Saccharomyces cerevisiae S288C: one gene and its partners. Each later gene encodes a partner of the first gene's protein in a complex. Each region holds a gene or a part of one and is shown in the gene's direction. Other genes may lie near its edges. The genes, in order: MRP17, RSM26, MRPS18 and MRPS17.

Region 1 (2,596 bases):
TTGGATTGAACAAGGATTTGGGTTTCTCAGAAAAGGACAGAAATGAAAACATTCGTAGAATTAGCGAAGTTTCTAAGCTATTTGCTGATTCATGTGCTATTTCAATCACCTCATTTATCTCTCCATACAGAGTTGACAGAGATAGAGCTCGTGAACTACATAAGGAGGCTGGTTTGAAGTTCATTGAAATATTTGTTGATGTTCCATTAGAAGTCGCTGAGCAAAGGGACCCTAAGGGTTTATACAAGAAAGCTAGGGAGGGTGTAATCAAGGAGTTTACAGGTATTTCTGCCCCATATGAAGCGCCAAAAGCTCCAGAGCTACATTTGAGAACCGACCAGAAGACGGTTGAAGAATGTGCTACCATTATTTATGAGTACTTAATCAGTGAAAAAATCATCCGTAAGCATTTGTAATTTGACCGATTACTGTACATTTAATGATATATAAAAGATGTATATATATAATATAGAACATATTTATTCGAGGATTCATTCGAAAAAAAAAGAAAACTTTAGTGACGAGATTGAGTAAAGTGAAAAACTGAACAAATTTTCGGAAGCCTTTTGATTCTAAGTGCCTACTTTGATATCAGTAGTTGATGTATTATAGTATAGACCTATTATTCATTAAATATACTCAGAGCGCTCAAGTCTGCTTCTTCAAAGTGTTCAACCGAGCTTGCAAGTCATCGTCAGGATTACCGTGAAATTCTGATCCGGCGCCAATAGGTTCAGGAATCCCCATCGCTGTTTCTGCGATCGGCGCATTAGAAACCAGATTTTGAGGCGTGCTTTGCAACTGTGAATTCAAATCCACTCCAATCTCATCAAGAACTTTATTTACAATTTCGTCAGCTTCTTCGTCTTCATCCACCTCATCACCCATGACGTTATCAATAGCTTCGTCCATGAATTCCTGTCGTTGACCCATCAAATCACTCTGCTTTTCAAACTCCATCGATATCCTTTGCAACTGAGGTAGATTCATTGTTCTGTTCATTCCAGCCAAAAGACCAGTGGCCTCGCTCATAGAACGTGTCATTTGGTCACTACTTCGAACGGCCTGTATTCTCAATGATATCGCCTGAAGTTGAGCTTTCATGTTGTCAAATTTTTGGATGTAATTCCGGGTTCTTACTAAATCTTTTGCTTGAACTTTCGCAGCTGCAACTTGCCCATTCTTTGCCGATTTTTTAATTTCTGATACAAGTTTTTTATCTTGTAGTTCCAATTTTCTCTTTTCTCTTTCAAGCTCCCTCTGAGTCCTTTCTAAAGCCCTTTGATTCTAAAAACTCAAATAATTAACGTTAGTATGTTCACTAAAATAACTGATCCAAATACAGAACAACATACTTTTTTTAACCTCTCTTGCGGAGTGACATTCTTTCCAAATACCCACTCAAACAAACTCATTGTTTAACGTTCTGTGTCCAAGGGTGAAACAATCAGCCTTGAAGTACACTGGTCACAAATACGCTTCAACTGAATACGCATAATTCGAAAGGATGATTTCTGATTAGGAGGAGACGAAGTCCCTTTAATGCTGATTTTATCTATCTTTTCGCAGTTATCATCTAACCCGGAAAAGTTTCAACAAGACTTTAGCCTTTTAATGGAAACTCCCACTAGTTCAGCTTAAACAAAATAGAAAAGCTTCAACAGAGGAAAGAATAACGCAAAACCACCCTTTTCACTAAGATGCTTTATGAGCTGATCGGACTTGTTCGCATAACCAACTCCAATGCGCCAAAGTTGGAAGCAAAAGAATTGTCTTCCACAATCGGGAAACTGATTATTCAAAACAGAGGTGTGGTGAGGGACATTGTACCCATGGGCATAAGGTATCTTCCTAAAATAATGAAGAAAGACCAGGAAAAACATTTTCGAGCATATCACTTTTTAATGCTGTTTGATTCATCAGCTGCGGTACAGTCTGAAATTCTAAGAACTTTAAAGAAAGATCCCCGTGTCATAAGATCATCCATCGTTAAAGTTGATTTAGATAAGCAGCTGGATAGAGCCTCATCGTTACACCGTTCTTTGGGGAAGAAGTCTATTTTAGAATTAGTGAATGAAGATTATCAATCCATTTAGGTATAGCGCACAGGTTTTGACTGGGGACGCTACAAACACATGTAAATACATACATATCTTTCATACACATATAATAAACAAAGCAGGAAGAGCATTCTAAAAGCCTCACTTAACATAGACACCATTAAAAGCCACCCATTTATTTCAAAAATTTATAAAATTCTAAAGATAATCAGTGGTATGTGATTAAATAAACTACATGTATATTATGCTAAACGACAATCCTGACTAAGAAAAAGAAAGAAAAAGATATATATTTATATGTATCTACATAAGACCAACCGTATCCGTAATTGCAGATAAAATACTCATTAAGCCCTCTTTACACCTAGTGACGTTATAGACGTGGCGGACGAACGAGAAACAGAAGTAGATCCATCAAATAACGAAGGGCTTACACTGGGTTCATCAGTCATATTAAGATCAAAGTCAAGTTCCAAGTTGGACAAAGGGACACTTTCGATATCGTTTGAATCTGCAGCCAATGGATCACTCTTTGA
Region 2 (3,127 bases), on another chromosome or scaffold:
CGAAAAATAATCGAAATCGATGGACACAGCGTTTGCTAATAACACGGCCCTTTGATCCAAAGTTAGTACTTGAGAACTTAGCATCTCAGTAGGATAAATATTATCAAAGCATCTCTGCGAATCAAATCTAACAACATAAACACCAGTATCGGTAAACATTTCTCTTCCTAAACCAACCCAATTTCTGTCTACACTCGCCATTATCTTACCATCAGCATCTGTTACAGGAAAATCAAATGATAAGAAAGGTGCATCTATCTTACCAAATTGGTCAAAAGTGGATCCTTCTACTCCATCTTTCTGGAATAATTCGTAACGACGCCTCCAGAGATGCCAGTTCTGAATGGTCTCTCCTACTGTCGTTCCTTCTTTACCGTCGTGATAGTGAGTGGAGTCACTGCCATTATCAACATACGCGGAAGGAGGTATGATAGTCTTTATATGAGAATTGATGAACGAAAAGGGCCTTTTAATCGTCATTATTACATTTCCCCAATTATCAAAGACATCTACCAAAAAAGGACGATGTAGACGATAAAACTGCCGCATTATGGCCTTTGTTATAGAAAAATCTCTTTCCATCATTGATGCTATTTTGTTTCCGTTCACATCCATTATGGCATACCTATTAGCCTGCTCGAAACCTAGAAAAACGTTCATAAATTCTATTTGCCTTTCGATAATAACTGTCGGTTCATTAAGTATCGTAGTAGCTATAGGATCATGTACTTTTATTATCCCGCTATTGCTATTTTCTTTAAATGCTTTTACTGATGGCGCCTTCGTTATTTGGTTCTTTTCACGAATTACTCTCCTAAATGGACCGTTTCTGATTACTTTACCAGAAGAAACCGTTAATGTTTTACTCAGTGTACTGAAATTTCTCATACATGATCGGTAAGTTAGAAATATTGCCGTTCTATGCATGTCGGTGTTATCCTTTATGTTTGACCTTTAATCTTCTTTTGTTTTGTCTTTTTTCATTTCGTACTTTTCAAATCCTTATTGCCGGTAGGCTTACAAACTTGAATGAAGTATATAACGAAGTCAATGAAACCTCTCCCATACTAGGTTCGGAACCTGTTAAGGGGAACAAGACCGCGCACTTGTTATGAAAATTCTTCCTATAACTATATTGAAAGCTATTTTTCCACATCGGCAGACAAACGACTGTCCAGACTTAGTAAAGCTCTTGGTCGATTTTGTACATTGCCTTTCCTTTACAGCTCCAAGATATTATATATATTTTTGACAAGGTAATCAATTGCCCCACAAATCTTCCATATAAAAACCTATATATGCTATTAACCGAATGGCAATTCCCTCTATCTCATATCTCACCTCTACAGTAATCCTTCCGTGGTATCTGGTCTATAGAAATGGGTACTGTTTCATTTAAACGTGTTATCACTTGATCCAATGGTTACCATCTGACTTTGGCATCAATCCCTTCTTAAAAAGTAACCAATCAATGATATGCGATTGTTTATGAAGTCCATTCAACAAACAATGGGAGTTTGGCCGAGTGGTTTAAGGCGTCAGATTTAGGTGGATTTAACCTCTAAAATCTCTGATATCTTCGGATGCAAGGGTTCGAATCCCTTAGCTCTCATTATTTTTTGTATTTTTTTTTTTCACTTCCCATCTTTCCAAGAATCTTAGGAGAGGTGCCGCAGTACTTTTTTGGACTGAGCAAGAAGTATCGCAAAGCATGGAAAAGTAAGAAGGGTATAGCAAAAGTCTTTTCACAATAAGAGGATATTTTGCAGGCAAATTTCTGAAGACCACATAATATCGTCTTCTTGGCGCAACTAAGACGCAGAGAAATGCTTGTTTTCAAAAGGGGTATTCACGTAGTACCTAAACTACCAAATTCTAAGGCCCTACTGCAAAATGGAGTGCCTAATATACTCAGTTCTTCGGGATTCAAGACGGTGTGGTTCGACTACCAGCGATATCTATGTGATAAGCTAACGCTGGCGACAGCGGGACAGTCTTTGGAATCATATTATCCATTTCACATATTGCTGAAAACTGCAGGAAATCCATTACAGTCAAACATCTTCAATTTGGCGTCCTCTATCCATAATAACCATTTATTCGTGGAGAACATTCTACCTTCTGCTGTTGAACATGGCACTAACTCGAACGCCGTTGTGAAGACAGAGCCTTCTAGGCTTTTTTTATCCAAAATCAAAGATTCATTCAACGGCAGCGATTGGGAAGTAGTGAAGGAGGAAATGATTTACCGTGCTGAGAATGAAGTCTTGGGACAAGGCTGGTTATTTCTAGTTGAAAACAATGAGAAAAAACTCTTCATATTAACGAGCAATAATAATGGTACGCCGTATTATTTTCCCAGGAACCAGTCATTTGATTTAAACAGTGCGATATCCATCGATGAATTTGCTACCTTGAAACAAATGAAAGAACTGATAGGAAAGTCTACTAAGTTGAATGGTAAGGTTCAAGACTGGACCATGCCTATAATCTGTGTCAATCTGTGGGATCATGCTTATTTACATGATTATGGCGTTGGTAACCGGTCCAAATACGTGAAGAATGTTCTAGATAACTTGAATTGGTCAGTGGTAAATAATAGGATATTCTCTGGTATATCGAAGTAATGAAAAGAAAGGAAGCGATAGCCTCTTACCCTCATATGTAATTATAAAGGTATCGGGTAGAAGGGGATCTACCAAAATCTTATATACTGTAAATAGTTTTATTTTATCCTCTCGCTCGTGTTTTAAACAACCTTAATGGCAATTACTTTATCATTTTCATCTTTCAGCATTGTGGCCCTATTTCTATCGCATAGGGGCTTCAAACAATAATAGAGCAAGCTTTCGGGCATTCTATGGAACTCCCAATTGACTGTTTCATCACCTTCACTCAATTCGTATAACGTAATGACTTGATTCAGTTTTCCAGAGTCTTCGAACCACTGTAGTATCAAAGAAGCCCAACTGTCTAAGCTCTTCCATAATATAAAATATCTCGTAGTGGTGGTATTGCTGCTTCTCCTACCACTTTGGTCAATCGGTAAGCATTTGCCTTCTTTGGTCATTTGCGACCAAATTTCATCAATAAATACCTGTGATACAGATCTTTGGATGTCCTCATT
Region 3 (2,986 bases), on another chromosome or scaffold:
ATTCCAAAAAATTTTTTTTCTTTTCCAAGTGAAATATAAACAGCGGATCAAAGGTGAAAAAAATCATAGTATTTTGTTCATTAAATTTTCCGAGGGGAAAGAGAACAAATTAATAGAAAATTATTATTCAGCAACTTTCGTAGGTTTAATTTTATCAGCAAATTCACCCAGAATTTGTAACTCAAAATCATTAAAATCAAACAAATTTGGTAGCTTGATTGGTTCAGTGAAACCTCTTGGTAAGAAAGTGTCATCATTCCTTAATTCATTAAAGAACTGATGGGCAAGGATTCTTCTTGGAGACAGTCTTTGTTGTGGTTCGTAGACCAATATTTTCATCAAAAGATCGATACCATCTGGACCGGAATGGCCAAAATACTTCTCAAACCTCTGTTGCGAAGAGCCCGAGAACAGTGGTTTGGAAAATAGAGGGCCATCGTAGGCCGGATTCGAAAAGAAAATGAATCTTTTATCGGGAGGACCTAACAATTTAGCAATTTCCCTTAGCTGTAGAAGGGGTTCTTGACCTTGAAATATGGCTTTGCCGATAAGCATCTCGCCCATGACACAACCAAGCCCCCATATATCGATCTGGGTGGTATATTGGGTACAACCAATGATCAATTCAGGCGCTCTATAAAATCTTGAACAGATGTAACTAATTGAAGGCTGGTTATGTTCCAATTTTTTGGCAGACCCAAAATCGCAGATTTTCAAGACACCGGTTTCCGGGTCTACAAGAACATTGGATGGTTTGATATCACGATGACAAACGCCAAGACCGTGTAAATAAAGCATCCCGCGGGCAATCTGATAAGTGTATAGCCTGATATGTTTTAATGGCATTTCTAGCTTGTTTGTCACATAACGATTAATCTCGATTTGTAGAGTTTCTGGTAAGCATTCCATGGCAAGGTGTTGATAAACTTTATTATCTTGCGGGGACAAATGAGTAAAGAAATACTGCAATTTAACGATATTTGGATGGTCGGCAATCCTCAGAATCTGTAATTCCCTGGACTTGTACTCGGTATGAGCAGGGACTTTTTTAATTGCAAAGGGGCCCAACCAGTTTTTCTTATCCTGGGTTAAATATGCTTGTACAACAGTCCCAAAGGCACCTCTACCGATTTTCCTGTACTCTTTCACCAGCATCCGCCTCGTGTTGTTCGATTTATTCGAGGTTACATCGTCTGCAATGAATTCAGATCCCCTTTGCAGAGGAACACCATTCTGCTCTTCCGTAGACATATGTACTAGAATGTGATGGAGTGGGGGTTTCGGAAAATAAAAAGAAAATTGAAAGATGAAGCAAAGAACTCTGTAGTCTTGGGCTTAACTCCTATCAATAAACACGTTACGGGCCTGCCCACACTACTAACACGACACAATGGCACTCACTTGCGAAATCTATGTCGTTTTCCCTTGGAGGTTACGCCTGCCCTCTTCCGCATATGAAGGTCGCTTTTTTCAGTGTTGTTTGTGGGTCACTGAACTGTCATTACATACGAACTGAGTGGAAGCAAGAATGCTGCTTTCGAAAGCCACTACAGCTACGTGTGATCATATAATTCCTGCATAATATGGCTGCATGCTTTTTAATGATAGCTTCAATTATGATGATAATCACTGAGCTACTAGTATTCCATTATTCAGCCTAAGATTGGAACTTTCTATAGCAGCGGAGAGTGTTTGTTTCGTACTTCGTGACTGTTTGGCATAATAACGATGAATTGGGAAAGAGGGAAGACAAAATGAGAGTAAATCAGGTGGAAAGCAGTGGTTCTTCTGAAAAGAAAAAGTGACAGTGTGAACTGTTATAGTTACGTGTGATGCTGTTACAACCTGTTTGGAAAGGCTGCCGATGGACGCAGTTTGTCAGGCCTATCAGAAGATGGAATTCTACCGGCACGAATAGAGGAGTTCCTTTTTCATTTAAGGATATTTCAAATCAGGAGGATATCACGAATATCTCGTATCCTTCGTCCTCTGACTCAGTTTTGACAAAGTCAAATGGTAGTAGTGAGGTTTACAAGCCCAAAGAGGAAGTAGTTAAGTACATTCTACATGGCAAGTTTACTAAAAATAACACGCATTTGACATTTTCAAGCGTTGTGGAGGACAAGAACTTTCATAAGAATAAGGGACTTACGTATAATGATACAATGCTGTACTATTTGAACTTACCCCAGAAAGTGAAGATTTCGCTATCTACAGGTTGTTTAGGGTTTAGGAAGGCAGCAAGAGGGGAGTATGAAGCTGCATTTCAAACCAGTGGTAGAATGTTTGAATTGATTAAGGAAAAGAACATGCTGAACAAAGATATCGAAGTGGTGATGGACGACTTTGGGAAGGGCAGAGCTGCTTTTATTTCCGCTCTTGTTGGTAAGGAAGGGGCCAGTGTGGTGAAAAAGGTTGTGAAGATCAGCGATGCCACCAAATTGAAGTTTGGTGGTGTAAGATCACCAAAGATGAGAAGACTATGATCAGCTCCCACTATGTATGAATTATAAACTATGTAAAAGAAGAAGAAATATATATATATTCGTGTAAATAATTCGATTTTTCCCTTTTTTTAATTGTCGTCGTTAGAGTTGGCCAAAATCCTTAAAATAGACAAAAACAAATTGACGATGTCCAGGTAAAGCATCATGGCGCATCTAACTTCTTCATCAGGATACACTTTCCTAAAAATCAGTTGCGTATCGATGAAAAGATACGCGGTAAATAAAATGGCACCAAGCCAGCCGTAAAGCAGATTAAACTTGGAAGAGTGGGTATTCCAGCCGAAAAGCAAGGCCGTGAGACCCATTCCGATCATAATCCATAGACCCCAGTTTAACCAATAGTATATTGACGTTGCGGAATTCAGCACGTTCTCGAATCTCTCTGATAGTGCGGTCAAGGAAACGCCGACTACGACGATGGTGGTGATCAGCAGAGCCGAAAGTACTGTATCCTTATCGTACGCTAAGGTTACCAGCGA
Region 4 (5,533 bases), on another chromosome or scaffold:
ACCACCATGAGGAATGGAAAATGTCTTATGTAAATTCAAGTGGCAAACATCTGCACCAAGATCTCCGGGTGAAGTTAGCCCAACCTGCGCATTCATATTAGCACCATCCAAATAGACTTGTCCACCAAAAGAATGTACGATATCAATAGCATGTTGGATGCCTGGTTCAAATAAACCGTAAGTGGAAGGATAGGTGATCATTACGGCGGCTAGTTCTTTAGAATGTTGTTCAGCCTTATTCTTTAAGTCAACCAGATCTAATGAGCCATCCTGCAAACAGTTGACAGGAACAACTTTTAAACCCGCCATAGCGGCAGAAGCCGGATTTGTACCATGAGCGGATACAGGGATTAAACACACGTTACGATGATTTTCACCTTTGCTTTCCAGGTAGGATCTGATTACTCTCAGACCAGTATATTCACCTTGAGCACCTGAATTTGGTTGTAAAGAAATACCATCGAAACCTGTAATGCTGCATAAATCTTTCTCCAACGAAGTAATTAGTTCCTTGTATCCTTGGACTTGGTTTGATGGCTGGAACGGATGGATATTCGAAAATTGGGGCCAAGTGATTGGCATCATTTCAACAGTACTGTTCAATTTCATAGTACAGGAACCTAAAGGAATCATAGAATTAGCAAGAGATAAATCACGAGATTGCAACCTATGTAAATATCTCAACATTGCTGTTTCGCTATGGTGCATGTGAAAGACTTCGTTCCTCAATATTTCATCAGTACGCTGAAATTCCCTTGGGAAACTGTTAGAATAGTCCTCAGAAAGAAACTGCGAAGAATTTTCAATGTCAAACACTTTTAGTAGATTTTCAACATCAGCTTTTGTAGTTGTTTCATCAAGAGCCAAGGAAATAGTGGTGGTGTCCACGGCAAACAAATTGATATTAAATTCTTTCAAGGCCTTGTCCAATAACTGCTCGGAGGATATGCCATTACCTAACTTTATAGTCAAAGTATCAAACCATGTTTTATTAATTAGTTCGTGAGGGCAACTGTCATTTTCGATGGCATTTGCCAATATTGATGTTAAGCTAAATATCCTCCTGGAAATATTCTGTAGGCCCTTAGGACCGTGATAAACACAGTAGCTCGAAGCAACATTAGCCAGTAAAGCTTGAGCGGTACATATATTTGAAGTTGCCTTATCACGCTTGATATGTTGTTCTCTTGTTTGGAGGGCCAACCGCAAGGCCGTCTTGCCTAAGCGGTCTTTAGAGATACCGACAATTCTACCTGGAATTTTTCTGTTTAATTTATCAATAACAGCGAAAAAAGCAGCATGAGGACCACCATAACCCATTGGGACACCAAATCGTTGAGAGGAACCCAGGACGATATCAGCACCGTAATGAGCAGGTGGTTTTAGAAGTGTCAAAGCCATTAAATCTGAGGCCACAGAGAGCAAAGACTTGTGAGAGTGTAACGCATCAGATAACTGTTTCATCGAGTCAGGCGGTAAGATTGAACCATCTGTCGCTGGATATTGAACCAAACAACCAGATACGTCGGGGTTCTTTAAAACATCCACAGCTTTCTTGATATCCGAACAGTCAACTTCAATAATTTCAATATTGAACGGCTTGGCTCTGGTGTGAAGGACACTCTTTGTTTGCTGGTGTAATTTTTTATCTATTACGTATTTTAGTTTCTTTTTTCTGGAAATATTGAATGACAAGAGCATAGCTTCTCCAGCCGCTGTACCCTCATCCAACAATGAGGCGTTCGCCACAGGCAAACCAGTCAAATCTGAAACAACCGTTTGAAAGTTTAATAGCGCTTCTAGCCTACCTTGAGAAATTTCGGGTTGATAGGGCGTATAAGAAGTATACCATTCTGGACTTTCTAGCAGGTTTCTTTGTATAACCGGTGGTAAAATCGTACCGTAGTAACCCTTACCTATGAAATTTTTAACTTTATAGTGGTTCTTATTGGCAATCTTTTCTAGATGTTGAAGCATTTCTTGTTCACAGAATCCCTTACTAGGAGCTTCTAGTTTCAAGGGTCTTCTCTTCAAAATATTGGGAGGAACGAGCTCTTCTATAAATGCGTTTAAATCGCTATAACCCATTGTTTTTAACATTTTCTTAACGTCGCTAGGAGAAGGACCTAAATGACGTCTAGCAAAAGTATCTAGCGGTCTATCAATGTTTTTCAAGTCAGGATTGAAAATCCTGCTGTACTGTGTAGACGTTATGTCTGTAGCGGCTGTTTTGAGCAAAATAGATTGAGAATGGAATGATCTAGTCCTCGCTAATGAAACATAATTGGTGCTTGACCTGACAGTAGCCCTACAAAGGAGAGCAGTCACTCTTGTCCTAAGCATGTTATCTTCCTGGTATTAGGAAACGTTTTTCCAATAAACTGTGGTTAGTTGATGGTTAGATCGCGCAGCAATCAATACAGTAAGATTGGTACACACGAGAAAGACTAATTCACTGGAACTTGAAGAGAAGAAAATTGTGCCACTCGAGCCTGCTATATATACATCCATTTATATTCGTTGGAGATCTTTCGACTAGCTTATCAAGGTCCTTCACAGCTCAATGCTGACTTCGATGACTCCTCTGAGAGTCATGACTCCGAAAAGGAGGAGTCTATACCTCAAGAAGAGTCAGAGATGTCGGGTAACGATTCAACCGGGTAACATGATTGTTATTTCATAAGATTAGAATTCTGAAGCAATTTGGGATTGTGCCAAACCAATGCGAGCATCAAACTGTTAGAGGAAATCCACAAATAAGGCCAAACAGAAGTAAACTCAGGGAGTTGAATTCGGGTTAGAGATTTCAAAAGTCAAATCAAGATCAGTTAAACTGTAATGGCTCGCCAAAATTTTTTAGGCTTGGTCGTCTCCCAAGGGAAGATGCAAAAGACGGTTAAAGTACGTGTAGAAACAAAAGTCTTTAATAAGAAAATCAACAAGGAGTTATTTCATAGAAGAGATTATTTAGTGCATGATGAAGGTGAAATATCAAGGGAGGGTGATTTAGTAAGGATAGAAGCGACGAGGCCGCTTTCAAAGAGGAAGTTTTTTGCCATTGCAGAAATTATTAGAAACAAGGGTCAACAATTTGCATTATACGAATCAGAAGCTCAGTTAAGCGTTGCAAAAGAAGAAGCCCAAAAGGCAAAAGAATTTTTGGATAAAAGATCAGTGAGGGAGAATAAACTAAATGAAAAAACAACCCTTTTACGTGATATTAGGACCATCCAAGATGCTTTATCTAGCGGGTCAACGCCGAAAGAGTTATTGGAGATTAAACAAAGGTACGGCATTCAAGATTTTTCACAAGAAACAGTGAGGCAACTTTTACAGTTAGACATCTCTGGATTGGAGGTTAATTTGGAGAAACAAAGAAGTCTCATTGATCGTATTCAAACGCGATTATCCGAATTGTTGTCGAATGATCTAAAATGTGATCAATTTTTGAAGGATCATGGTGTTGAGGATCCTTTGACCTTGAAAAAAAACATCAAAAAAAATTTGTTAAGAAAGCACGTCATGATGGATATGCAACAACCAAGCCAGTAAATAAAAGAAAGAGGAAAGCCGAGTGTCATATTTTCTCAACTAAAGCACTACACTCTGTAAATATATACAACTACAAGACTTCGTTACGTAAATAGTAAAGTGTTATGTTTTGACTTTAAAATATTCTAGTGAAAAGAACGATGTTTTTGATTTTCTATCGTTTAACGCATTTATATATTTTCAGGCAAGTGATATCGAAGATGTGAGTACATCGCTCGTCCCCATCGTCAAAAACAAAAGTAAATAAAAGAGCTCTGCTCTGATTTTACAAACAAGAAAATTCCAAGGAAATAGTCCAAGTTTTATATGACCCCACCTCATTTTTTTTTATCTCTCATAAAAAAAAGATGCATATGCTGGATATGTTTGGAAGAATCCACATATGACTCTACATGGCTACAGCACACGTGCGGTTGCAACTTACAAATTCATAAACGCTGCTATATAAGATGGCTCTATCAAATGCATGTTGAACTTTTTCTTCCGAACACAGTGGACCTACCAAAGGATGCTGATTTACCTATAATCACCTGTTTAAAATGTCTCGTTGATGGGCACCATGATTTTATGACGACTTTCTCTCTTACAGAAATATGGGAAACTCGTCCCATTTGGGGGCAAAAATCAGTACCGTTTCAAAATGACTACGTGTTCAATCTAATGTCTCTTTATACCAAACGGGATAATCATCCACCTTATGTGTTAGTGAAATTTGGCGAATGTCCTCAATGCAAGAAAACAAATTTCATAAAAAGACCTACAGTAACCATCCAGTCTTCTGTACTATCCCTGTTTTATCAGTGGCAAAAAATTACACGATACGTGATACCATTAGGGATAACTAGTTTATTTCTTTTAAACCCTGAAAAGACAAGTTTTGACATTGGATTATGGCAACTACGCTGCCTTTTCCCTGAGAATGTTCTACGAAATATGTTAAACATCAGCACTACAAAGGCATTGGACGTATATGCGCAAACTGAACGTGGCTTATTAAGCATTCCTTTAACCTCCTCGATCATAATATATGGGTTCATACATTATCTTAGCAACATTTCTAACGTCAGTGCTAATGCAATACTCTTTAAGTGGGTGTATCTCAGTATTGTAAAAACTGCTGGAAACAAATATTACAAGGGTATAGGTTTACCTAAAATAATTTTGTATTCTAACTTGGCTACATTTTGCTATAATTTTACCTTTAAAAGATTGGTTGACTTAATTTACAGGAGGCTGATCAATAAAGGAGGTAAGTATTTGTATCACGGAAATTTTGAAAACTCTAGTAATAGCGTTCCAGCTGAGGAATTTTTTATCAGGCGGAATTGGTATGCTATTCTTGCAGAAAAGATACTATGGCCCTTTGTTGGTAAATGTACAGGAGGTCTTCTATTGAATGCTTTTCTATGGATACAGAGAAAGTTTAAAATTGAATGGACGCCGAATTGCTCCCCTTCGGAATTTAGAATGATTTTCAATATTATAGGTTGTGGTACTGCTGCTATAGGCTGGTCAAGTCTGAAGCTCTATGCCAGTTACAAAAGATGTCAGGAACTTGAAAAGATCAATGAATTTATTGAACAAAGTTGCAAAGGTGAGTAAATAAGTCATTCGTAAGTGTACACTAAACTTTAAGGACAGCTGGTAGGACAATTTTATGGTCATTTGACAGCTGATGTCTTAAATTGTGTGCTATGGTTCATGTTTACATTAAGACCAACTTTTTTAAAGGCGCGTAAAGCAGAATCATTATTACAAATAGTAAAAATAAGTAAACAAATTTATATAATATATAAAACATGAAGGCGAAAAAAGAGATTAATCAACTTCTTCCATCTCGGTGTCAGCTGGAACCTCTTCAACTGGAGCTTCGGTAGAAGCTTCTGGAGCGGTTTCTGTTTCTTCATCCTCATCAATGTTCAAACCTAAAGAAATCAATCTATTTATTCTTGATGCAAAAGAAGTTGGTTCTTCCAAACTG

Evidence for each region.
Region 2: MRP17 (region 1) and RSM26 share a complex: the UniProt entries of both Saccharomyces cerevisiae proteins name them as parts of the mitochondrial small ribosomal subunit.
Region 3: MRP17 (region 1) and MRPS18 share a complex: the UniProt entries of both Saccharomyces cerevisiae proteins name them as parts of the mitochondrial small ribosomal subunit.
Region 4: MRP17 (region 1) and MRPS17 share a complex: the UniProt entries of both Saccharomyces cerevisiae proteins name them as parts of the mitochondrial small ribosomal subunit.

What each region holds. Positions count from the first base shown.
Region 1 is NC_001143.9:436,597-439,192, reverse strand, and holds MRP17 (mitochondrial 37S ribosomal protein bS6m MRP17), read left to right. Parts: upstream 1-1,700; coding exon 1,701-2,096; downstream 2,097-2,596. Other genes in the region: MET14 (adenylyl-sulfate kinase), read left to right, coding at 1-416; ESCRT-III subunit protein DID4, read right to left, coding at 649-1,287, 1,356-1,415; AUR1 (inositol phosphorylceramide synthase), read right to left, coding at 2,408-2,596. UniProt on the Saccharomyces cerevisiae protein: Component of the mitochondrial ribosome (mitoribosome), a dedicated translation machinery responsible for the synthesis of mitochondrial genome-encoded proteins, including at least some of the essential transmembrane subunits of the mitochondrial respiratory chain.
Region 2 is NC_001142.9:616,408-619,534, forward strand, and holds RSM26 (mitochondrial 37S ribosomal protein mS42 RSM26), read left to right. Parts: upstream 1-1,826; coding exon 1,827-2,627; downstream 2,628-3,127. Other genes in the region: AIM25 (Aim25p), read right to left, coding at 1-927; ESCRT-II subunit protein VPS25, read right to left, coding at 2,750-3,127. UniProt on the Saccharomyces cerevisiae protein: Component of the mitochondrial ribosome (mitoribosome), a dedicated translation machinery responsible for the synthesis of mitochondrial genome-encoded proteins, including at least some of the essential transmembrane subunits of the mitochondrial respiratory chain.
Region 3 is NC_001146.8:56,323-59,308, forward strand, and holds MRPS18 (mitochondrial 37S ribosomal protein uS11m MRPS18), read left to right. Parts: upstream 1-1,832; coding exon 1,833-2,486; downstream 2,487-2,986. Other genes in the region: serine/threonine/tyrosine protein kinase MCK1, read right to left, coding at 124-1,251; BXI1 (Bxi1p), read right to left, coding at 2,576-2,986. UniProt on the Saccharomyces cerevisiae protein: Component of the mitochondrial ribosome (mitoribosome), a dedicated translation machinery responsible for the synthesis of mitochondrial genome-encoded proteins, including at least some of the essential transmembrane subunits of the mitochondrial respiratory chain.
Region 4 is NC_001145.3:634,310-639,842, reverse strand, and holds MRPS17 (mitochondrial 37S ribosomal protein uS17m MRPS17), read left to right. Parts: upstream 1-2,838; coding exon 2,839-3,552; downstream 3,553-5,533. Other genes in the region: GCV2 (glycine decarboxylase subunit P), read right to left, coding at 1-2,343; YMR187C (uncharacterized protein), read left to right, coding at 3,859-5,154; Hsp90 family chaperone HSC82, read right to left, coding at 5,371-5,533. UniProt on the Saccharomyces cerevisiae protein: Component of the mitochondrial ribosome (mitoribosome), a dedicated translation machinery responsible for the synthesis of mitochondrial genome-encoded proteins, including at least some of the essential transmembrane subunits of the mitochondrial respiratory chain.